Linked DNA regions of Struthio camelus. Each later gene encodes a partner of the first gene's protein in a complex. Links are inferred from orthologs where the notes say so. Each region holds a gene or a part of one and is shown in the gene's direction. Other genes may lie near its edges.

Evidence for each region. Proteins that work in one complex are often made in the same cells at the same time.
Region 2: DRC3 (region 1) and IQCG share a complex: the UniProt entries of both Homo sapiens proteins name them as parts of the nexin-dynein regulatory complex. The link is inferred for Struthio camelus from reciprocal best matches to the Homo sapiens genes DRC3 and DRC9.
Region 3: DRC3 (region 1) and EFCAB2 share a complex: the UniProt entries of both Homo sapiens proteins name them as parts of the nexin-dynein regulatory complex. The link is inferred for Struthio camelus from reciprocal best matches to the Homo sapiens genes DRC3 and DRC8.

Annotation. Positions count from the first base shown.
Region 1 is NC_090956.1:3,768,502-3,776,298, reverse strand, and holds the start of DRC3 (dynein regulatory complex subunit 3), read left to right. Parts: upstream 1-4,789; 5' UTR 4,790-4,847; intron 4,848-5,518; 5' UTR 5,519-5,635; intron 5,636-6,385; 5' UTR 6,386-6,402; coding exon 6,403-6,559; intron 6,560-6,574; exon of another isoform or gene 6,575-6,939; coding exon of another isoform or gene 6,940-7,102; intron 7,103-7,797. Other genes in the region: TOM1L2 (TOM1-like protein 2), read right to left, coding at 4,290-4,341. UniProt on the Homo sapiens protein: Component of the nexin-dynein regulatory complex (N-DRC) a key regulator of ciliary/flagellar motility which maintains the alignment and integrity of the distal axoneme and regulates microtubule sliding in motile axonemes.
Region 2 is NC_090950.1:21,486,632-21,494,039, reverse strand, and holds the start of IQCG (dynein regulatory complex protein 9), read left to right. Parts: upstream 1-4,397; 5' UTR 4,398-4,412; coding exon 4,413-4,444; exon of another isoform or gene 4,445-4,685; intron 4,686-7,408. Other genes in the region: RPL35A (large ribosomal subunit protein eL33), read right to left, coding at 163-186, 1,089-1,233, 2,314-2,466, 3,616-3,657, 4,130-4,359. UniProt on the Homo sapiens protein: Component of the nexin-dynein regulatory complex (N-DRC), a key regulator of ciliary/flagellar motility which maintains the alignment and integrity of the distal axoneme and regulates microtubule sliding in motile axonemes.
Region 3 is NC_090944.1:99,241,817-99,249,784, forward strand, and holds the start of EFCAB2 (dynein regulatory complex protein 8), read left to right. Parts: upstream 1-4,957; 5' UTR 4,958-4,992; coding exon 4,993-5,020; intron 5,021-7,968. UniProt on the Homo sapiens protein: Component of the nexin-dynein regulatory complex (N-DRC), a key regulator of ciliary/flagellar motility which maintains the alignment and integrity of the distal axoneme and regulates microtubule sliding in motile axonemes.

The DNA of each region.
Region 1 (7,797 bases):
CACGAGCAAAAATGTCACCATTACTCCATGTTCTCCAATTTCAATCAATTTTAATCATCTAAGCTGTTCTTGCTAACCTATGGTAAGGATATTTGTTCTAAGAACCTTGAATAGAGTGGTGACACTTCAGATGGCTCCCTTCAACAAAGAAGGATAAAAATGCAATTTACAGTAGGTCACCGAATCTCAAGGCAAATTCTTGCTACTGTCAATTGTGGCTTTTTCCTCAGGCCAGTCTACCTCCAGATACCAAGCACTTTGTCTCCACTGTTTGACTACACATCTTCCTGTATTCCTCCTACTCCCAGGTCAGGAGCGTTCTTCGAAGTAGTCTTCCTCGAGGAATCTAGTCTACCTGCGCTCATACAAATTCACAATATTGACTGAGAAAAATAAAATAAACAATTCAGTCATAAGAACTGGCCCAACTCCCAGTACCACAAAGAATCCTAAATAGACACATCAGCCCTAACGCAGTCCCAGAGACCCGAAGCATCCAGTTCCACCCCTCAGATACTTTCCAACTCTCTCAGAAAGACTGGGTCTGGGGCTGATGGTAAGGCCATCCCTCAACTGTCTGAGCTGGGCTCAACCAGAAGAATGCAATGCAAGATGAAAGTGGAAACTCCAGTGGTCTTTTGGGGTCCACACCCAGCAACAGAGACTGCTGCTGGATTCACGGGAAGCCGGGCACTGATTAAAAGCACGCCACTTGCCAGAAGCAACAGCTGCCACATTCCACACAAAAGCCTGCCCCATGATCTTCACAAGAAGGCCTATTAGAAAGCACTGACAACTGACAAAAGCAACATTATGAAGTGGCGAAGGGACTAGGAAGACTTCTAAGTCTGATGGGATGCTGAAAAGCATCATTTACCCATTAAGTCTGTGAGAAGCAATGGATTCTGCTACATAACCCTGAACAAGCTTCTTAGTCTATACATAAAATGGTGCTATTACCTTGTTTCACTGCAACCTCGGGTATAAAGCAATATGGAAAGGGTAAAACATTTTTTAAATAAATTCAGGAAGCTCCGAGGCACACTGCAACAGCTGACTGACTACCTTCCACATAAAAACCTGCTGAAAACCACCCACTCAACTCTGGAGACAACATTTATAGAGAAGAAAAGACAGTTCAGCGTCCACAGGTCAATCAAAGTATTAAAAACAAATTAAGGGAGGTTTGTAATTAGTAGCAATGGTGAAGTTTTATATTTTCTCTTATGTGACCACTGGAAACTAAACAAAGACTACCAAACAAGCCACTTGCCAAAAATCAGGTAGCTTTCGCATATGAGGAACCCTGCTCCCATTAAATTGGCACTTTAGATGCAAGAGACTCTATCCATCTCCATTACAAATCCTCTGAGCTCATCCTAGCATTACTTTCCCACATTAAGCAAAAGAGTTAACATAAAAAGCCTGCCTAGCTTCAGACATTATCCAGATGAAGAGAAGGGGGAAAAGAGAAAATCCCTTGTATTAACACCCTCAGCTCTCCCAAAACCTTTTCCGATATCTTTGTTCTGTCAGACCTGGCATTTATCTGAAGACATTGTCTAGCCCTAATTAAATCTTTATGTGAACCACTGCTACTTCCTGGCAGAGAACATGCATTCTTGGTGTGCTGATGGACCTACATAATTTTCACTTCTCCCTTATGGTGAGTGTTAGGCCTTGCTTGAAAACATCACAACTGTGTTCAACACAATATGTTTAAACAGAAATATGAAATTATTCAGTTCCTTTTAAAGAATGAAGAGAAACATAAGTGAAAATTATATCCCACAAGCTCAATGAAAAAAAAAAAAAACTGTGGAAACACAGAGCAAATAGTGCTGCCTGAGAACAAGGCATGCTTTTGTTTTACTGTTGTCTCAGAAAGGCATAACTGGCAGTGATATAAGAAGCAGTAAAATTTCTCTTCCAAAATAAAATCTGCAGCTATCTCTTCCCCTCCCGACGCACAAACAAATTTTGCATTATGGGAAGTCGCTTTATAAACCCCTCATACACACCTAACCGTATCTGATGAAGATAGCTCCCTCAGAACTTTGTGTTAGAAGTCTTTAAGTTGGCAGCTATTGCTCGTTCAAAGAGAACAAGGGGATATAAGAGCTATGCAAATTTTTAAACTCCCCAGTTAGAAAGGCAGAAAGCTAGAAAAGCAGATTTTATTGTTAAAAAACCCAATAATTATGTCTTAAAGAGGCCCCTTTAAATTACTTACTGATGCTAAAGGAATCTGACATTAAATAGATTAGAAATTATTGCCTTCCCTAACAATGCTTATTGTAGATGCCTTGTCCAAGCAGCAAAGCAGACAGCTGTCCTGGCAGATGTTATCAGATGGCCAAACACAACAAAGCAAATTCACTTTAAAATCATATTTAACTTTCACAGTTCTTGTTATTATCCTCAAATTCTCAGCACTTCTCTCCCTAACCAAAAGAAATAAACACCCCAGATGGCTAAAGAAAAACAGCAAGATATACATATGCTCTGTATAGCCTGACAAAGCAAGAGTCCAGCCATCTTCAAAGCACAGTGTGAGATTTAACCATTTAAGAGCCTTTTAGTTCTACAATGGGGCATCTCTGCATGTGTGGGTGAGACTACTATAAAACATCTTTGGGGTTGTGAGGTCATGACCAGATACTCTGCAAAATTTTTCCACTTTATTTGCCACTGACACAAGTCTTCCGTCAATCCATAAATTAATGTAGAACAGCTATAGATTATACTTCACATAGCTATAGATTATGCTATCTATAACCCTTAAATAAGGCATTAGGATTACTGTCCCTTAAGAAACAAATCAAGACACAAAGAAATTAAGAGCATGGTCTCACTGGAGAGGGATACTGGTACAATAGCATTCAACTGAACATCGCTTTGGCTTCTGGGAGTGTATGCCAAGGCTTCTGTGCTGCAGGAACCTGAGCCAGACTATTGTTCTTTCCCACCGAAAAGTGGGAGATCTTGTATTTCTTTGGGGCCTAAAAGCAGAAAGCGGGAGGGAATGACAGCTCATGCAGCTGTGGGCAACTTATTAACCTCTGCAAAAGCAGAGTCTGGGCTTTCTCCCATGGTCCCAGCTGTGACAGCCCAGATCAAAACCAGACTTGCCACAGATGAGAATGAACGTATGTGTAGGAGGGAAGGAGTAGACATAGCAACCCCGTAAGGGCTTGGCTAATTTTACAGTGACAATATACTCAAAACAATCTGCCTAATGTTAACAGATCATTAGCAAAACAACAATTCAAGCTCTGGGCTGAAGACTGAGCAGGTGCTTATACCTCTAAACCTCGTCACCTTCCCTACATATGCACAGGTCCTTAGAGGTTTCAACACTTTGGGAACAGGACGGCTGAGGCTGAAGAACATAACAATTCTGTAACAAGGCGCTCACATGCAGGGAAGGGAGCTGGAGGAAGCACACAACTTTCCTTCATCCATCAACTGTCTTGAAGTGGAGTAGCTCCTTCCTCATAGCAACCAGAAGCCCAGAACCCTGGCCTAACCCCAAAACTGCTAACCCCTGAACCCTCTGTCACCCACAGAGCCCTCCACTAACCCCCAGAGATAAACACTGAGTCCTCAGAGCCCCTCAAGAAGCCCTAGAGCACCCACACATCCTGATAGCTCCCCATTACCTCCACAGACCCCACCAATCCCCAGAGATCCACCCTACCTCCAGAAACCCTGCACTACCTCCACAGACCCCACCAATCCCCAGAGATCCGCCCTACCTCCAGAAACCCTGCACTACCTCCACAGACCTCACCAATCCCCAGAGATCCGCCCTACCTCCAGAAACCTCCCACTACTCCACAGCCCCCTATTAACACCCACAGGCCTCTCACTGCCTCCAGAGATCCCCATTAACTCCTGCAGATCCCCCATTAGCTCCAGAGTCCCCTGTTGATGCCACAGTTGTCCTTCTGCCTCCAGAGTCTCCCATTAACCCCCACAGATCCTCCCACTGCCCTCAGAGACCCCGATTAATGTCCAGAGGCCCTCCACTGCCTTCAGAGCCCCCTATTAATCCCCTTAGTTCCCCTACTGCCTCCAGAGACCCCCATTAACCCCCACAGAAGGCCCCATCGCCTCCAGAGACCCCCATCAACGCCCGGAGATCCCCATTACCTCAAGCCCCCCTCCCTGCAGCAATCCCCCAAAACCCCCACAGGCCCTCACCACCCCCAGTGTCCCCAGTAACCCTCAGAGCCTCCTCCAACTTCCCCCGCCCCGAGCTCCCAGCGGCCTCCAGCCGGCCTTACCGAGGCTCTGCCCCACCGGGGTGCTGAACGGGTTCCCCAGCAGAAACTCCATCTTGGGATGACAACAAACAGCGGCCCGGCGGCCCCCCCTCCCCCACCCCGCCCTGACTGGCACCCGCCCCCACCAACCGCAGCATACCCTGCCAGGCGAGGCCCGCCTCCTTGCATCCGATTGGGCCGAGACTGCACTCCCCGTGGTCTCACAGGTTAAAGAGCGTGTCCATCACTGTCAAGTGAAGGACCCGCCCCGTCGGTAATCCACGCCCTCCAGTTGATCGACAGCAGGGATATCGCTATAGGCATTCACCATTGGGCAACTGCCAAACCGTTCTCTAAGACTATTGGGCAAGTTCCACGTCAATCACAAGTGCTTCCTCCCGCCCCAAGGGCACGGTGCCCGCTCTGATTGGCTGACACCGTTTTCTCGCGCTCTGATTGCTAGACAGCCTTCCCACCCACTCCCTGACCATTGGCGGCTCAGCTTGTCACGTGGCCTTGCTTAGCAACGGGCCTGGGCTTCCGTAGCAGTCGGCTTGGAGGCCTGGGGCTGAGGCGCAGGTGGGAGCGGGGCGGTGGAGGGGGCCAGGCCGGGGGCCTGGGGCGCCGCAGAGGTCGGGGGGCCGGGGGCTTGGAGGACCGGGGCCTGGAGGCCGGGCAGCCGTGGGGCTGAGGCCCCAGGACGGCTTGGGATGGGGCCTGGGGAGGCCAAGGGGCCTGGGGTCTCTGGTCCCTGCAGGCAGCCACAGCGGCCAGCAGCCCCCTTCTCAGGGGGAAGGAGGGGAGCCCGCCTGGGTTAGTGTCACCTGGATAGGGAGGGTGAGAGGCACCGTCCTGGGCCCTGCAGCGCCTGGGGGTGTTGGGGGATGCGGAGTTGCTTCCCAGGCCTGGGCTTGTGCCGATGGTGAGCAGCAGCACCTTGTCTGGGTGATGCATCCACTGCTCTCATTTCCGCAGTGCCCAGATTGCTCCTGCAGAGTGTCAGCAGGCTGCAGACCTTGACGGTTTGGTTAGATCTGTGGCACTAACATTAGCTAAAGAGATGACAGACAAATGCAAGGAAAAGGCAGTGGAAAGTCCAGCAGGTCACAGATGAATGAATCCATGATGTGCTGCTATTCCTTGGGCTGTGTTGAACATGGTCATATAGAGAGTTGGTTTGTTACTTAAAAGCATGGTTAGGATGGAATTATCTAAATTCAAGCATTTCTCATTCCTGTGCTCCTATGCAGAGAAATCAGCCAAACTTTTTCCATGAAGTGAAGGTTTGAAGATTCAGGTCCTTCATACTGAGTCTGTGCGCAGTTCCAGAAAGACAAGCAGCCTCATTGCCTCCAGGGAAACGTTAGGTATATTTAAATAACAAAGCAAGGGCAGAGAGTTAGGAATTGTGGATTTCCTAAATCAGTTGTCAGAGTGAACGTATAAGTGTTCAATGCTATATATTGACTGAAATACACTGCCTCGGTCAGATGACCCTTACTGTGGATCTCTATTCAGTGTTTGCTTTAGCGAATCATTGCTATTGTTTATAAGTTTTCCTCCTTCCCCAAATTTGTTTTTATTTTCATTATGAAATCAGTGTTTAAAATTTAGCAAACTGCTGTTACTAACATATGGTCTCTTACTCTATAAATCAAACCTTCCTATAATGGTAAACTTGCCTTTCAAAACTAGATTTATGTGGTATACAGAGCCTTGAATAGGCCATTTCCATAAAGATGGATTTCAGCAACAAGTGACTGCCATGTGAAGGATCCTTCCGTACAAAACACTCGTTGTTTATAGGGCACAGGGCCTCCTTTAGCTGTTCTGTTTATCTGGCCAAATATTTACATTCTTTATGGAAAACTCTCAAATATGGTGTGAAGTTTGCCTGTTGTAACCTGCTAAAGTTGCCTGCCTGTACGGTTGTGCTCAGCGTAGCATCAGTGACTTTGTGGTAAAAGTAAAATACCTCTTTGATATCATCCGTGAGGTATTAAATCCTCTCAATACCCAGCTATGTTTTTGTTATCTTTGGAACTGTTATGCCATTTCAATAAATTTTGGAAATGGTAGCCAGGCAGTGGCTTTATTTATTTATTTTTTCTTTTAAGGCGCTTATCATCTAAAAATGAGTCAATTATACAATATCATTGAGCCAAATGTGATCAGCGAAGAAATGGTTCAGAAAGCTGTGGAAGAGCAAAGTCAAGATGAGGCAGGGCAGCTTGCCAAAAGGGAAGGTATTAGTTTTAAAGACGTCACAGAGCTACAGTTCAGTTTTAGAAGTGAGTATCAGAATATATATATTATATGTTTATTTATTAGAGGGTAGAAGAATTAAGCATTGAGTGGCTAACTGGCAATTATGTAATCATGATTAGCTTGGATTTGGTATATGAATAGTAAGGGACTGGACTTACATTTTTAGTCATACTTGTATGAAGTAGTTTCAGTAGAGAGAGCTGGGGGGCTTTGCTGATTGATAACTTTAAAGCTGCTTAACTTTGTGCTATTATTGTCACTGCCGTTCTTATTTAACATTTATATTGTGGTGACACCTACAGGCCATAGGCCTGTTGGGCCCTTTTATATGTGGACAAATCAAATGCTGGCCAAGCTGTTAGTGACCATCGCTGGCTATTACGTGAGGGCTATTTGGTAGCTTATGGCGATGACAGTTCAATTCAGTGGCCTCCCCTGGCCACCCATAGCATTAGGCCACCTTGCCTTTTACTGTCAAACCAGACATAAACTTGCATTCAAAAAACAAAAAAAAAAAGAAAAAAGAAAAAGAAGAACATCTGGCTCACTATTTGAGTATTTTCGGGGTACGTAATTTCATGGACAAAATCTGCTTTTGCTTATTCATTGTGTGCTCCAGTAAAATGTGTACTAAGAAACTCAGAGGATACACGCACTTCCTGTTACTTGATTCTGCATACATTTGTGTGCAAATCAGAACATGGCACTGCGTGAGTATTTAATGCATGCAGTTCCTTGCTTTACATTGCACTCGCTAAACAATAGCACCTAACAAAATCTTCAGGGAATTCATTGGCATAAAGAGAATTGGGGTGAGAATGTTTCATATTTTGTCACCTTGGTTCTAGTGTTTTCCTGTAATGCCTAACAGCCTGCCCTTGTGATGGAGTTTCTGGAGAAAGCTAAATGCAGTGATATTGATCAGCTCTGAACTGCAGCCTTCACAGAAACAGTAGTCCCCGACCTGCTCTCCTGTAATGAGAATTTCAGGGGCAGGAGAGTAACTTACAAAAGCAGTAGCTGGCTGCCAGGAGCCTGCAAATGCAGAGGAAAGCAGAGGTTCATCCCAAACCTCGCTCTTGGAGCTGGAAAGCAAAATGAATGTCAAGGCCTCCTGGTAGTAGATTCATAAAGCCGCTCTTGACTGCAGTGCTGTAGTCAGCACCGCCTTAGTGACTCATTGGCATCACTGATTAGCAGTGTGTGCTGGTGCAGGACACTGAGGTTAACCTGGCTGCTGCGCTGAAATCCTCATCCAGCC
Region 2 (7,408 bases), on another chromosome or scaffold:
CAAATCTCCATTTTAAACACCTAGTTCAGACTCACTACTGCATCACTGTGCTGTGGATTCTGATACACTACCCAAAAAAAAATTCTTCAGAACAGTTAGAGGGGATAAAAACACAAGTGTACAAAAATGAAACAGATTCCACATTTTATTTCCAATAAAAATTTAGATCCTAGATGGATACAGCATCTGTAAAAAACAAACAGAATCATGTTAGAAATCTTGTTACTGCACTGTACTGTTTCAAACAAATCTTGCAGTTGCATTCTACAATCATGGATCCCCAACTACTACAAAAACAGGCCCCAATTTTCACAGAAGAGGTGCAAGAATAAAAAAAAGCCTAGCAATTGGTTCAAAGACTTGAAGTATCACTTTGCTGGCAGAGAGGCTCCCTCCCCATGCAGCCAGCCCTTCCATTCACTGAGAGGAGGAGATGCTCATGAGCCTACTTTCAGGCTTTAACCATGCTGTTCCTACCACGCTTTTTGTAAGGCACAGGAAAAACATGAAAAGTAAGGATCGCATCTTTCTGACGCTCCTCTTGACAGTATCACTAGCAAGATCCTGCATGAAAAGCCTGGGTGATGGCCCAAAAGGGAAAGTTTCACTGAAGCCTTGTGACCAAACAAATTGTTGAACAGGTCCTACTGCCGCAAGACTGCGGAGCCCTCAGTGAAAGTGTTTGCAAGAGAAAAGGAAAACTGATGTCATAGCTCCCTTGCCAATGGTAGGAAATGGAGAATAGGAAGCATATAAAAAGAACACGCACAAGATTTAGGGAAGAGGAATCAAAATGGCTTTAGAAAGGAGTTGAGGAAGAATTTAGGAACTTAAAAAGCCTTTGCAGTCAACTTGAATAAGCATACAAACCCCTCAACAATGAGACCAGTCCTCTCAACACAAGAAGCCAGTGCTAAACCTCTTCTAGCTCCAAAAGGAGCACTTACCACAGGGCCATGTTGAACACACAGTAGTAACAGAACGAAGTCATATGTATATTCCAAGCTCTCCCTCGTACTCTGGGAGATTAAAACACATCCCAAAAACACTATCAAAAAACATCTTGTTGCTAAAATATATCCACTTACCACTCGGATTCTGTGTCCAATGGCCTTGGCAGGAAGGTTGGAACGGAACTTAGCACGAACCATGCCACTGTTCCCATGGGCGCGGGTTACCTTCCCCCAAATCACTCGTGTCCTGTTGGGCTTACCACCGGGGGTTACAGTGTTGCTAAAGAAACAGCGAAAAAAAATTCTGAGCATCTCAGTCTTGACTCTGCGCAAGACTGACCAGTGATGGGACAGACAACGTAGCCTCTTTAAGGCACTTCCATAATTGTATTCCAGTCATTTTTAATTGGATCAACTTCCACTTTCATGTGCCCTTGGAAACTGTTACGGCTGTAATTTCCACTACGCCCTCCACATGGAGGGAATATCGTGGCTAGTAATTTATCAGCAGCTCCACTGCAGAGCTACTAATGAGACATAACCTTAAGATGATGAAAAAAAAAAAATCACTGGATGTTAAGATAATCAACATGAAAACTCATAAGCTGTTACTACAAAAAAAAAGTAACATGTTCTAAGATTTCTCCAGATACACCAAAGGGCAAGAGCGGCCTAAGGCACCGGGATAGACTGCGAAAATTGCTTTAAAAAAAAAAAAAGGCATAAACCACCTTGGAAACGAAGATCAACACGCAAATAGCCTGACCAATTTTATTCAGTGCAACTCTGAACTCTTGCATCTAGCTCTCACAATTACACACTAAGTAGAAAGGCATAAGCAACTACTCTAAGGCCTCCACCAACACCAGTATAGCAGAAGTGACATTGCTCTGACACAGGCACGCAAAAGCAGCTCAGGATTCAAACTCCTTCAGGCTGCACTCCAGGCTTCATGTAATGTTCTTCGGCCATTTAAATAATTGAAATGTCATAGTGATCAACACCAATTCAGCTAACTCCAATATACTGCATTATCAGCTTGCCTTCAGCTCTGCTAGCCTCAGAAGCAAAATTTGTTATCCCACTTGTTAATATAGTGTTTCTAAGAGCAAAGCTATTCCCATATAAATACACGATCTGAATTAACAACACAAAGGTCACTTAAAGCAGACACATCCTGAAAAACTTTAAACTGAGACCAACCAAGGAAACTACTCTACAAAACACTCCACGGACAGCCTGTTGACAAGCTCAGCTCAACTTATTTTTGTCACAACAAGAAGTGACTGATCACATCCCAGCCTTTGCAAAAGCTGATATAGGAGTTTCTAATTTAGCACAACAACGAAAAGTTACTTACTTTTTAGCTTTGTACACGTAGGCACATCTTTTGCCCAAGTAAAACTCTGTTTCCTGCCGGGCATAAACCCCCTCAATTTTCAGAAGGGCAGTGTGCTCCCTCTGGTTTCGGAGGCCACGTTTGTAGCCAGCAAAAATGGCCTTGGACCACAACCTAAAAACATTGATAAATGATAAATCACTCCAAGGTATTAGATGCAAAAAACAAATAATGTTCTGTTTCAGAAGGAACTATTTTTACACCAGGAGAAGTTTAGTTGATGAAAAAATAAAGTTTCGTTTATATAGATTTCTACAAACCCTTACAGCCAGTCAACGGAGAAAAGTACCTGGAGCCTGAAGCATTTAAGAACTCTATAACTTTCTTTGTTATAAACTTCTCTTTCTACTACAGCCTTCATACCAAGAGCAAAGCCTTTCAATATTAGCATATGTTATATTTTCAAACATTTGCAAACTGTTTTTGGCATGGGTAAACGTTACTGTTTTCAATACATCACACTAACGTGACAGTCTCCTGTGCTGTACTAACTGCTATAGGAGAAGATATTAACTGTTGTCCATCGTAACACAACTTTGCAGCCTCAAAGGAATTAACTGCAGTCTCTGGGGACAGTCACTCCGTCCACATCCAATGGACAAATTACATTATACTATCACCCCAACAATTTTTCATGACAAAGACCTGTTTGTCCCACCCACTTCAAGCAATTACATGGCTGATTCTATATATCACATAGAAAATATAACTAGTCTCAACTGCATATGCCAACTGGCCCATAATATTACAACGTCAAACTGACTTATCTAGTTTTATCTCCCGTATGTGCATAAGATAAACCCAAGCATATCAAAACAAGACACTGTAATTCAGTTTTCATTTTTCTGGCACATGCAGTATTAACACTCCCTACGTCCATTAAAAAATTGTGGTGTCACAGTACCTCTCTTACTTAAGAAAACAGTATGGGAAAACCTGTACTGTACACTGCAGGCTCTTAAACACCGTGATAACTGAAACCACACTAATGTTCAGCATCAAAAGCCAGGCACTGGAAAGCCTGGCACATCATATGAACAATTACAACCAGTTTAAGGTAGTGGAGACACAACCATAGGTGTTTAACAAAGCAGGCACAGCACAGCGTCAGACAGAGAACTTGTCCAGAAAAAGGGGCAGCCACAGGAAACACGAATCACTGTTTGACGGTACACACTCGGGAATACTCCGTTTACAAGACCACCTGCCAAAAGTGCGGCTGTCACAGCGAGCCGAGACCCCGTATCGGGGCAGGTCACTCACCTCCCGCTCATGGCGTCCTCCTGAAGCCCTGGTCCAGCAGGCCTAGAAACGACACAATGAGCCATGAGCGCCTCGGGCCGACAGCTCACCCGGCAGCCCCTGCCTGCCGGCCGGGCGGCAGCCGCCTCGGCCTGCTCCGCCGGGCCCGGGACACCCGGCCGCCACAGCCGGCGGGCCGGGGCCGCCCACACCACGGCCGGCGACAGCGGCAGAGCGGCCGCCAACCTCCCCACGACGGGTGCTGCCGCCCGCGGGCCGCCAAGGCCGCCTGCTCCCCCCCCCCCCCGAACGGGACGGGACGGCCCGAACGCCTCGCCCCCCCTCAGCTGCGGGCTCCCAACGGCACCCGGGACCATCCGCCACGCATCGGCGCCATCCCGCCCGCCGCCGCCTCCGCTCGGCGCCAGCCGCAGCGCCCCGAGTGCCCCGCGCCCGCCGGCAGCCCCATGGCTTGGGGGGGGGGGAGGGGGGGGGAAGCGGCCCCCTCAGCCCCGCGCCGCCGCTCCCGCCTCACCCCCGCGGCGCCGAGCCAAGATGGCGGCGAAAGAGAGAACAGCCGCGCGGCCTGCCGGGATATGGGCCGGCGTGGACCCCCCTCCCCCCGTGGGTGGCCACGGTGCCGCCTGGGTGGAGAAAGCTAAGACGCCGCAAGTGGTAACAAAGCCCCAGGCGGCCCCTCCTCAGCCCAACGCTCGCTTTCCCCTTGCTCCCACGGGCCGAAATGCGGGGGGGGGGGGCTCTCATCCGGCCTTGCAGGCACCCACAGGGGCAGCCCCAAAAGGTCCCCGGCGGTCACCATGGAGACGGACGCCGCGGGCGCGAAGCCCCGGTGAGCGGCGGGCCGGGCCGAGGGGGCCGTCACCGCCGCGCCGGGCCGGGCCGGGGGCCATCTCGGCGTCCGCTGTACCCGCCTGTCACCTTGCTGGCGGGGAACCGCCACGCCTGTGAAGTCTCACGTTGCGGTGTTTTACCGAATAAGAGCAGACGTGAGCGCGTACTTACCTGTTTCCGCGCGTCGGCGTCGTTCCCGGCTGCTTTCTGCCGCTTCCCTCGCAGGGCCAGGCATTCAGGTGCGTCTACAGAGCGCTTTAAGGGATGCGGGAACCTAATTCCCGTTTCAAATGTACCCTCGCCACCCTGCCTTGCATTGCAACTTTGCTCCGAAGTGTCTTAAACTGCACCTGAGCCTGTGCCCTCCGTGCTTGTATGACGCAGTTAACCTTGGTAACTAAACCTGGTGTCATCTCGTCACCTCGTCAGCCGGGCTCTGAGGGCTCCAACCTGGGCTGAGGAAGTGGATCCTGATCCCGTGAGAAAACTGAGTCTGTCTGCACTTTGCTGGGCCAGGGTAGCAGCACGCCATGCCTTGTGAGCGTGCATAAGCAGGGATCTTTCTTAGACAGATAAAATGGCTGGGGAGGAGGAGCGGAGAGGGGAGGGGGTGTTTTGACTCTCCCAATTCCTGTGTTGGCTTCTGCTTGAAGGAAGAGGCAGCAAGCCCAGTAATGCTCGGTGACCTACTTACTAGGAGCAAAGAGCCTGCTAGGAACCTCTCTGGTCAGAGAAAGGACACGATCCCTGCTTCGAGGGGAACAAACCAACTGTCCAAACACTCACTTTTCCAACAGTACTGATGCCACAACCAATAAATGTTCCCTAACTCTGGTCTTCTCCTGTCCCATACAGATTAAGTCCCATAATAGAGCTAAGAGTAGCACCACGTCTTTTATTCTTTGCACTTAGTTCTAGCGTCTCATCGGTACAGTCTCAGAGAGCAGGAGCTGAAAATGTTTTTCTACAGTCGGAACAAAGCCTGGATGGCATCTCAAAGCCAAAACCAAGATTACTTTAATTTATCAAGTTTTATTTTCTCTTTTTTCAAACGAGCAACTTATTTTCTAACATTTGTAGTAGTAGAGTTTAGTAAGACCACAGCGGCTTTGCTCGCCTAATAGACGTTGTTCTAGAAAAGCTAAGATATGCTGTATGGTCCAGTTCTGCCACTGTGGGAACTCAGAGGTTTCACTTTGACAGTATGTTTGCAAAACAGAGCTAAAGGAGATGTGACATTCTCAGCTTTGAATTTTCTCAGTGGAATTCATCCGTATTGCTACTTCTTAACTGACTAAAGAGGATGCTGCAGAAATGCTGCCTAAAAGCCTACTGTCTTTGCAGCCTTTTCAGTTTATCAGGCAGCAGGATGGGAGAAATGTACATGCAGGGCTCTCACACAGCAGAGGGAGTTACAATTCCCCAAGGAAGGAACAGTAGGCCAGACTTTTTATACAGTTGTTTTTAAAATTATTTCTTGATATGTTTTTCTTTTTCTTTAGAACAGCAGGGAAAGAATGTCAGCCTAAACTCTTGGGGGAAGCTCAGTCTTCCACATACCTCTTTTTCGTTAATAGAGTTTAACGAAGGAGTTGAGCAAAGTACAGTGATTTAGGTCAATGTCAGTGACTGAATCAGGATGGTCTGTGGGCACTGCATTCATGCTAAAATCTAGTGAGAGCAGCTCACTATTTGCAGTGTTTCTAAATGCCCCAGACAGTGGTTTCCTTCTCACTTCCAAGTCAACATAAGCCCAGGCAGAGCTTACTGGCTTGGCACAAGCATCTGCTGAGTATACGGATATAAGAGGAAATATATAGGAGGAGCAAATAGGAGGCTTTAAAGAAACATTACATTCCAGCTGTGTGATTTCTTAAAACACATAAATATCTTGAGTTAATTCTCTCCTGGACAGAAGTTGCTGATGGGGTACAGGAAAAGCCATTGCATCCTCCGCTGTTTCCAAATAAGTCACTTTTTCCTATGAGAGCTGCAAGTGTTATTTCTTCTTTCAAAAATGTTGTTGTAATCATTTGTCACAGCTCTCTCAAGAAATCTGTTTTCTCCAAATTTTTATCATTCGGGCTGAACATGTAAGAGACTATTCTCATGTTGTTTAGACCTGAAATATCATGATTTCTTTTTAAAAAAAGGTAAAACAAATTTACATAACAATTAACTAGTGCCTGTTAACTGTAAAGAGACTGTCTGACTTTCTCTGTGTAAAAATACTTAACTCAGATGAACTTGCATCTCCATTTCTACTATTAATGCCAAGTGTGAAAAGAAAAGTGACGTTTATTACTGTTATACAGATTATTAGCTACCTTTAGTTAATCATTTTATCAGATTCCTATCTCAAGCTGTAGCACATTTCTTATAATCCAGAGAAAGGAGAGAAAAAAATCTCAGAAGCAAAGGGAGGAAATCACTTCCTAAGTTAAAGGTCACAATCAAAAGCCCTAAAGAGTGAGATTAGTTATTTAAATAAATATAAGTAGTACAGGAAGGATAGTAAGCCTATTGAAAGTATTTGGAATCACTCCTTTGCTGTTACCTTTTCTGCCATGGTTTTAGCAAGGTTCTTAAAATAGTTTAGGGTGCCTCTGCCATTATCTTGATCTTTCTGAAAGTTAGAAACCTCATCGTAACTGCCTGGCTAAGTGTATTCATGAGGAAATCATACTCCTTTGACCTTGTAACAGTATTATCTTTTAACTTAAATAGCTCTGTCCCTCCCTAGTATCTGCCCTTCAAATATATTTACAGAGAGTAATCACACTCCTCAAGTCGTTTAACCTCTTGTAAAACAGATTCTCCGTTCCTCCAATCACCCCACTAGTCTTCCTCTGTCTCTGCATGTTTTTGAACACAAATGACTAGAAACACGCGCAGTGCCTTATCTGAGTTTAGTGGTGTCTTATACAGTGGCACTGATATTTCTTCCTATCTGCTGAAAATA
Region 3 (7,968 bases), on another chromosome or scaffold:
CAGATGGATTATTGTATTTTGTTCCTGCCAGAGTGTTCTCAGGGATTCTGGCTTCATTTCTAGATATAATTAATGTTAATAAAGTCTGAAGGTTAAAATATGTGGGTCTCTAGGGCTACTTCTGTGTCTGGGTGGGCTGGAGAACAGCATCCAGGCAGTTGGATATAAAAGTAAGGTTTTCTTTTCTGCTACAGCTCCTTAGGCATAGTCCCAGAGGCTAAGCGCTGTCAGTAGTGCCTTGACATTGAGGAATATTGCTGAGGGGAAAAGGTGCTTCCCTTTTCCTAGTAACTCTTTTTAATGTGTGTTCAGTCACTTTCCCCAAACACAGCTTTGCGGAGGCAGGAGAGGAGCATCTACAGATCCATAGGATCATACCTGTACATGGGCAGCAGGAGATACTTGCCTGGGCACTTCGAGTGCCATCCTGTGGACTGAGAAGGATTTGAGATGCTGTCATTATAAGCCACCTTAGAACCTATTGTTTCCTTTCTTCCTTCCTTGTTTGATTTACAGACTCAGCCAGCAACTGAGCTTTCACCTTCCAAAAGAATATCTCCCGCTTGCTGCCTTCATCCTCCGTATTTCTTCCTCACTTCTACTTGCACGGTCCAACTCCCTGCCTATGCTGGTTCAGGCACTTGTCAGGCCCTTTGTTGAACTTATTAACATGGCAGAAAACAATCCACTTCGGATGGATTATCTTTTGCTACATTAGCGAGTCAAATCTGCTCACAATGAATGTCCGAGCTAGCACAAGGTGGAAGGTGGATGTACAGTCAGCAACAAGAGAAAGAGGGGCAGGAATAGAAGAAAGGGCTCGATCCTCCCCTTTCAGCCTCAGTGAACTCCCCATCTCTCATGCAATCATACCTTCAGATAACTTATTCAGGAGGCCAGGATTTGGGCTTCTTGGGTTAAGTCCTTGTTTATTACCTGAACGGAAAATGAAGGAACTATCATGTAAATTTATGTGCTTATTGCTCTTCTGTTGGTTAGAGTTGCACCCGAAAGGCTCTTCTTTCTTTTTCAAAAAGAAAACAAAATAGATAGACAAGATTCTGATGAAAATACCAGCAGTTTTGAAGAGGTCAACGGCAGAGCTATTAGTGGTGGGTATGCCTACTGTCTGGCTCTGCCCACTCTATGAGGCTTCTCTTCATCTGGTCCAAGCATAGGCTCAACAGACTCTAAGGAAAAAAGGAAACAAGCAGGAAGAGAAGACATTTCCCTCCCACACATCAAGGAATGAGGTATCTGCTCTCAATGGAATTTACCCAAAATTTGAAGGGAAGACATAGTATAGGTAAAGAACAGTCTTTTTTCTCATTTTTTATCTAGTTGCTGTATATCATTTGAGTGAACAGATAATGTTTTGCTAATACCCCATTTTGAAGAAGCTGTTACTGAGTCACTTGAATCAGCTGCTGATCCGAAGGAAGACCGAAATGAAGATGCCAAATGCACTGGGGTCTTTCATGTTATATTGGGGGAAAAGGGCACTGCCACCCAGAGATACATTTTAGCTGTAAGAACTTAGGCAGAGGAGTAAAGGTAGACTCCAGTTACAGAATCACAGCTATTACTTTGCTTTCTCTGTGAAGGGCAAATGTGTCTTCAGTTATATGGTCTGTTCAGATCCACAGAGGGAGTCCCATAGCAAAGATTTTCAACATGTGTTCACAATAAAGATGTGTCCAAACGCTGCAATCCCAAAACCATGGAGGGTTGGTAGGCATTATTGTGCCTCCTGAAAATACTTTATCTTTTACATCACTTTTCCCATTTTAGTACTACTTTTTTAATGCCAAACAAAATGTCTATGTACAGAAAATATACAAAATGTGTGATAGGTCCCTGATATTTGAGAGGAATGTATGTGATGAAATTCCTTAAGTGCAGAAGTAAGGGTGCCTTCTTTCTATTAGGCTTCAGTGGATTCAGACTGGACATCAACATAGCTGGTTTCTTCCATATTTTTCCCTGAGATATTTTTTGACATTTTTAAACGAAAAATTACAAGTTTAAAAGGGTATGTTCTCTTCAGAGGAGCTCTTTAAAGATCTTGCATGTAGCGTAGCAGCTGATATTCCAAGCTGTTGAATTAGTAGTTCTGGGTTTCCTTTTGTACTTGTCTGTGCCAAAACACGATTAGTTGTTTCAGCCCACTCATACCCTTGGTTTGAGATGTCTGTGCATTAAGTTAGAAGGGAAACAGTCATGTGGTTCAGGTCCAATATTTGATCTGCATCATAACTGTTACCATTTTTTTCCTTCATTTTTCAAGATAGCGTTGCCAGGAAATTTTAAAACAGTGAGTTTTCATTTTGAAGCGCTTTCTCATTGCGTATTTTGTTCTGCTCCTGCAGACAGGCAAGATGCCCAACCCTGTGTATCAGGAGGTGGGGGAAGAAGGGGAAACAGGTGCTGACATTTGGCCACAAGCTATTCAAAGCAAAAGGAAACTCTAGGCTGGAGCAGGGGATGCAGACAAAGCACTTTGATTTACAGTACTCGTCATGAGTGCAATCTCAACAACAGGGGCAGGATAGGGCAAAATATTGTTTGCTGATATTAATGATAGCTGTAAGTGACGAAAGATTTTGCAGCGAGGTTAAAGGTATCAAACTTAATGAGTTTGATACAAAAATCCAGGATTTGACCAATACCTTTATCTACTTGGTATAATGCTGTCCTAACGGAGCTATTGTACCATCTGGTGAGGGTCTGGTTCAGCTGCTACAATAGGATGCAGACATTGTGAGTATGCAGCATTTCCTACTGGAAGCGAAAGACAGTTTTTCCCTTTCTTTTTAGCTTTTACACACTGCTTCTGTTGCCCTCATTCTTCGAGGAAGTTAAAACAAGTGTGGGGAGAAGACCCGAGTTCAAACCCTTAGGCTGGTGAGGTAGACCAAGCATAGGCCCTGGGGAAATTACTGGAAAGATGTTAAATGTACTGGCCTGAGTGAAATTCCTTTCTCACCTCTTCATATTTGCAAAGACTCACTTCAAGTCAAAGGCAACTGTAAAAACACAAGATTTTTAATAAATTAGCATGATAAGCAATATTTATATCTATTTTAAAACTGGTGGTTGTTCATATTTTGGGTATGGGTTTGGCAAGAAAACCTAAATGAGACTGAAATAGGATTTTTAAAAGCATTTATTAGAACTTGGTAAACACTGTGAATAACTTAGCATTTGTTGAAGAGCTCTGAAAGTTCTCTGTTGAATCAGGTAATCTGGAAAATAACACAAGAAATCTAATGCCGGAGAACAATATTGGAGAACATGAAATTTCACAATTGGGGTAGAGGAGGGAAGTACTAACTAAGAAAGCTCTGAGCTTGTCCAACAACGTATTTGGCACTTTTCTTCAGTTTCAAACATGTAACTCATTTGCCACAGACACACAACCAGTCAGGACAAAGGTTTTGCGTGTGGAAGTCTTGAGAGAATAAGAAATGGGACCGCTGTAACATTGAAAGATAACAACAGCCTTTCCTTGTGCTGCTGCTAGGCCCTCTTCCTTTTGCTGCCATGCTGCTGCTCTCACCAGAACTTCTTCTATAAATTTGAGAGGAAACAAATCCATGCTCCTCATGCAGTCAAATATGTACTTTGAAATATTTAGTTACTTTCGTAAACCGTTCAAGTCTACAGATTACCATTCAGAGGGATCAGCTTTGCTCAGAGAGCACAAACAGCTGTTTTCCCAACAGAGTAATTGTGTGTTCTCTTGGGTATCTATTATACCCACTTTATTCTGAGCTACATTCAATAAAAATGCAGAAATAAATGGCTGAAAGGCACTGTGGATTTCTATTTCCTGCAAATAGCAAATGTTATTAAAAAGCAAGTTATTTTTTAGAGCAAGGAAGTCCTATCTCTGCTCAATGGGTTGCTTGAAATTTCAAGCTTCCATGAGTGCTGAGCACATCTAACTGTTTCTTTGAGAGGTGGATAAAGGTGTGTGAGGAGGAACCATCCACCTGAGCTTTGCAAAATTTAAACATCTGGCAAATAGGCACCCGCGGTGGCAAGGACCAGGTTCTAGTTCTAGGAATTTCATAAAAGCGTTTTTTTTTTTCTATGAATATATGATTGCATCTGATTGGAAAATTAATTCTTATTTTATCTGTATTTTCTGTACTTCCGTAGTTGTTTTTAGAGTTGGAAGAACCATGAATTGCAAACACGTCTGCTAAAAGATGTACCTAGAATTTTAGCCGTGTAGTTCTGTTTAGGATTAGTGGATAGACTATTTTAGGGGTTTCAGGGTGGTGGTATTCAGAAGGAAATGTTCCTTCACTGTCTGAAGCTCAGATACGTGGGAAATTATGCAGCTGCTGGGAAAACTCAATTTAGAAGAGCATAGACTATTGTGAAACAGCAACATCTCTCGGGCTCCTTCACAGCCTGCCAGCCAGGGCAGCGGCGTGCTGCGAGCGACGCTACCTCGCAGGCCAGCGGTACTTTCCCATTGCGTTTTCTACCTCCTTGGTAGCCGGGGGGGTACCGCAGCGACTACCGCTCGCTGCGGCGCGCGGTCCCGGGCGGTTTGGGCGGCGGGCGCTGCTCCCGCTTCGAGCGAGGCCCCGTCCGCTGCCCGCTGCGGGGTGCGCGCTGGCGTGGCCCTTCACCCGCCTTTTGGGGCTCGGCCGCCACGGAGAGCTGGCGTGTAAGGTCAACGCTCAACGCCGGCCACGAGCCCCGCCAGTGACCTTCTATTTGCCTTCCGCGGCGCGCGCCGAGAGGCCTCAGTTAAGGGCGATTTCGGGGGCCGCGAAGCGCCCTCGCTGCGGCGGGGCCCCGCGCCCAGGCCGCCGCTTACCGACAGCACGGACCCCTCCGCCGCCGCCAGGCAGCGCCGCCGGGCCCCGGCCGGCCGCCGCTCACCGGCCTGAGCCGAAGCCCGGGCCCGGCCGCGGGCCCGGCGGCGCTGACGGGCGGCCCGCGTCGCCATGGCGACGGCGCAGAGCTGGCGCCATGGCGGAGGAGGAGGGGAGCAGCGAGGGTAAGGCCAGGCCGGGGCGAGGGGAGCCGCCCGCAGCCTCTCGGCCGGGCCGGGCCGGGCCGGGCCGCCGCCGGCGCGCTTGGCCGCCTGGGGCTGCGCCGGAGCCGCCCGGCGGGTGGCTGGCTGCGGCCTGCGGAGCCGCGGGGCTGCTGCCGGCCGGGCCCACGGGCACGGAGAGACGCTGCGCCCGCCGTCCGCCCCACGCACGGTGGCAGCCAGACACCACACGGGCACACAAATGCGCGGAGACATAAAGACACACACACACACCCCCCTGTGCAGCACCACCGCCTCTTACCTGCCCCTGCCTCCGGGGGAAGGGCTCCTTCCCCAGCACTCCCTGTGGTGGAGGATGCCACCCCTGGGTGATGCCACCCCACCAGGAGATGCCACCCCTGGGTGATGCCGCCCCAGGCAATGCCACCCCGGCCGCGCTGTCACCACTTGGGGTGGCTTCGGGGGTGGGGTGGGGGGGCTAAACCAGCTGCTTTAGCCAGTTGGTCATCTCCTCTTTCATTCATTTTTGGATGTGTCAGGCGACCTCTGCCAAAAAAAAGTAATCTGGGCTGCTGATAGCATCATGACTTATTTTTAGAGGCAAGCATGTTCTACTTTAGCAAGCATTAGCAGAAATGATGTTTTATAGGCTAAGGGTAACTCCCGCCGCAAGGATATTCAAGTATCATTTCAAGAAAAGCAAATGTACTTCCTGTAAAACTCACAATACTGCGACTCTTAAAACTCACCCCTCATTTCCGTAAATAAACTGGTGTACATAGTAATATTTTGCAAATTCTAAATATTATATTTAATCTAAATAATGAATTATTTCATATTATTCAGGAAAAACAGTATCCTCCATAGAGAAATCCTGTATAAGCATTTGTTGCGGATAGTGCTGAATGAGTAACTCGATTTCATTAGAAGTATTTCTAAGACAGACTTTGCGGTATAGAGATCTCGCATAAAGTAAGAACTAAGACCAGTGTAGTTTCAACGAGGACTGTTGCTAACGGTATTACTTCTTGAATATTGTTTTCCATCTATGTTTAGTCTTGCAAAAGCATTTTTTTTTCAATCATTCCAGTTTTACAAATGAAGCTGAAGCACAGTACTGGTAGAGATAGATAGGTAGAGAGTTTAGGATAAGAGTCTAGAAGGCTGCTGACCCGTCTGAGAAGAGGCAATCTGGTGTTTTAGCAGGATAGCCGTGATATTGGCAATGTCTGGCTCCACATATTTTGAGCGCCCATACACACGTGAGATTTTGCACCGTTTTGGCAATCCACAGGCAAAAACTGTTGGAGAAGGAAGCTTGTGGTTTTTAGGTTGCTTGAGTAATGTGTTTTAATGCAGGTTTTGTAGATTCAAAGTGAGGATGCTTTTTAAAAGGTTTAATTACTGTATTACTGAAGAAACATATTTTGGTTTTTTTTTGCTTCTTATTTTTTAACATCCTGTAAAACACTTCCTAATAGGTATCAAATGTAGGAATGCCTCCTTCTATAGGAAAACAGTCCGTGCTGCCATCCTAAGCAACCCTGACACCTCAACTCCATTCCTAGCCCTATTGGACTTCCCAATGGATCGTGGGAAAGCAACATACTGGACTTTAGTTTCCTATCCATAAAATGAGGCCAATAAGCTCTATCACGTGGATATTTCAAGGACAAGACATGTAGCTCACCTTTAATCACTCAAGGGAGTTCTACTCTTTTATTAGGCGGACAAGTTGCTTCTTACCTCATAAAGGTTTCTCTTTATTATAAACACGTTTGAGGCAAACGAGCAGCCAGTGTCTCGTTAAACTGCAGAAGGAGTCCCACAAGGGTAAGTAGCTTCTACCCATTTTGGAGTTGCTATTAGCCTTCTTATGCATAGCAGTTAGAGGGTTAATTAGGATTCCCCAAATCTAAATTCACATGTTGATCACGCTTTCTTCCAACAAGCATTTCACATATAAAGTAAAAGTTGCAGTTTGTGTATTACGGTTCAAACAGAACAATAACATTAGCTGTATTGTCAAATAATTAGTCTTTAGGGTATTCCCCTCAGTTCTTTGTAGAACGGCAGTTCCTCCAGCTTTCATGGTAAAGGTTTCCCTTAGGTCCTATTATTTTCAAGTTTTGTCTTCTTCGAAGTTAAAATGCCTGCTTAAATATTTTACAGATACACACACACACACACACACACACACAAATGGTGAAAGGTCAAATCCTGCAACCTCTTATGCATAACATTACTCACATGAGTATTACCCTCTAATTTACATTATTCTTGTGAATATAATCCTGCATGCACAGAAGTGTTAGTAGAACATGCCCATAGTATCTGTGGCTATATGTTTTATGTATGAATTTATAGCTCTGTATTTGTGCTGCTTTATTTTTTCAACAATGCTTAATATTTTTCTTTATACTCATTTGATTACAGTAGTCTGTTTGCCTCATCTCTTTTTTTATATTTGTCTGTATCTTCCCTGCCATCATTCTATTTCTTACCCTTCTTTTGCTTCTTAGTTCGGTCTATCTGTTCTTCCATTTGCTCTCAGATACTTTTTTTCTTATAATTTGACATAAGATGTCAGATTTTCTAAATTTTAATATCTCCGATCTCAGTAGTGCTGTTACAAGAACCTGAAAGCAAAATGTCAGACTGGTAGTGCCTGAAGTAGAACTAGACAGAAGACAAGACATATTTTTCTCCAGCTGGGATTTAAGAAATTACATGAAAGTACATAAAGGGAAAAACACTCAGTGTTCCTATGTCATTATGGTAATGCTGTGTACTTGATCAATACTACAGTTTTTCTAAGACAATATTCATTTTGCTAGTTAGCACATGTTTAAAATGCAATTAATGCCACAAATTTTAATCCGAAAGGAATTATATTAAATAGTCTGAGCTCCTGTTTCACGCATTTACACTTATACAAAACTAAATAACCA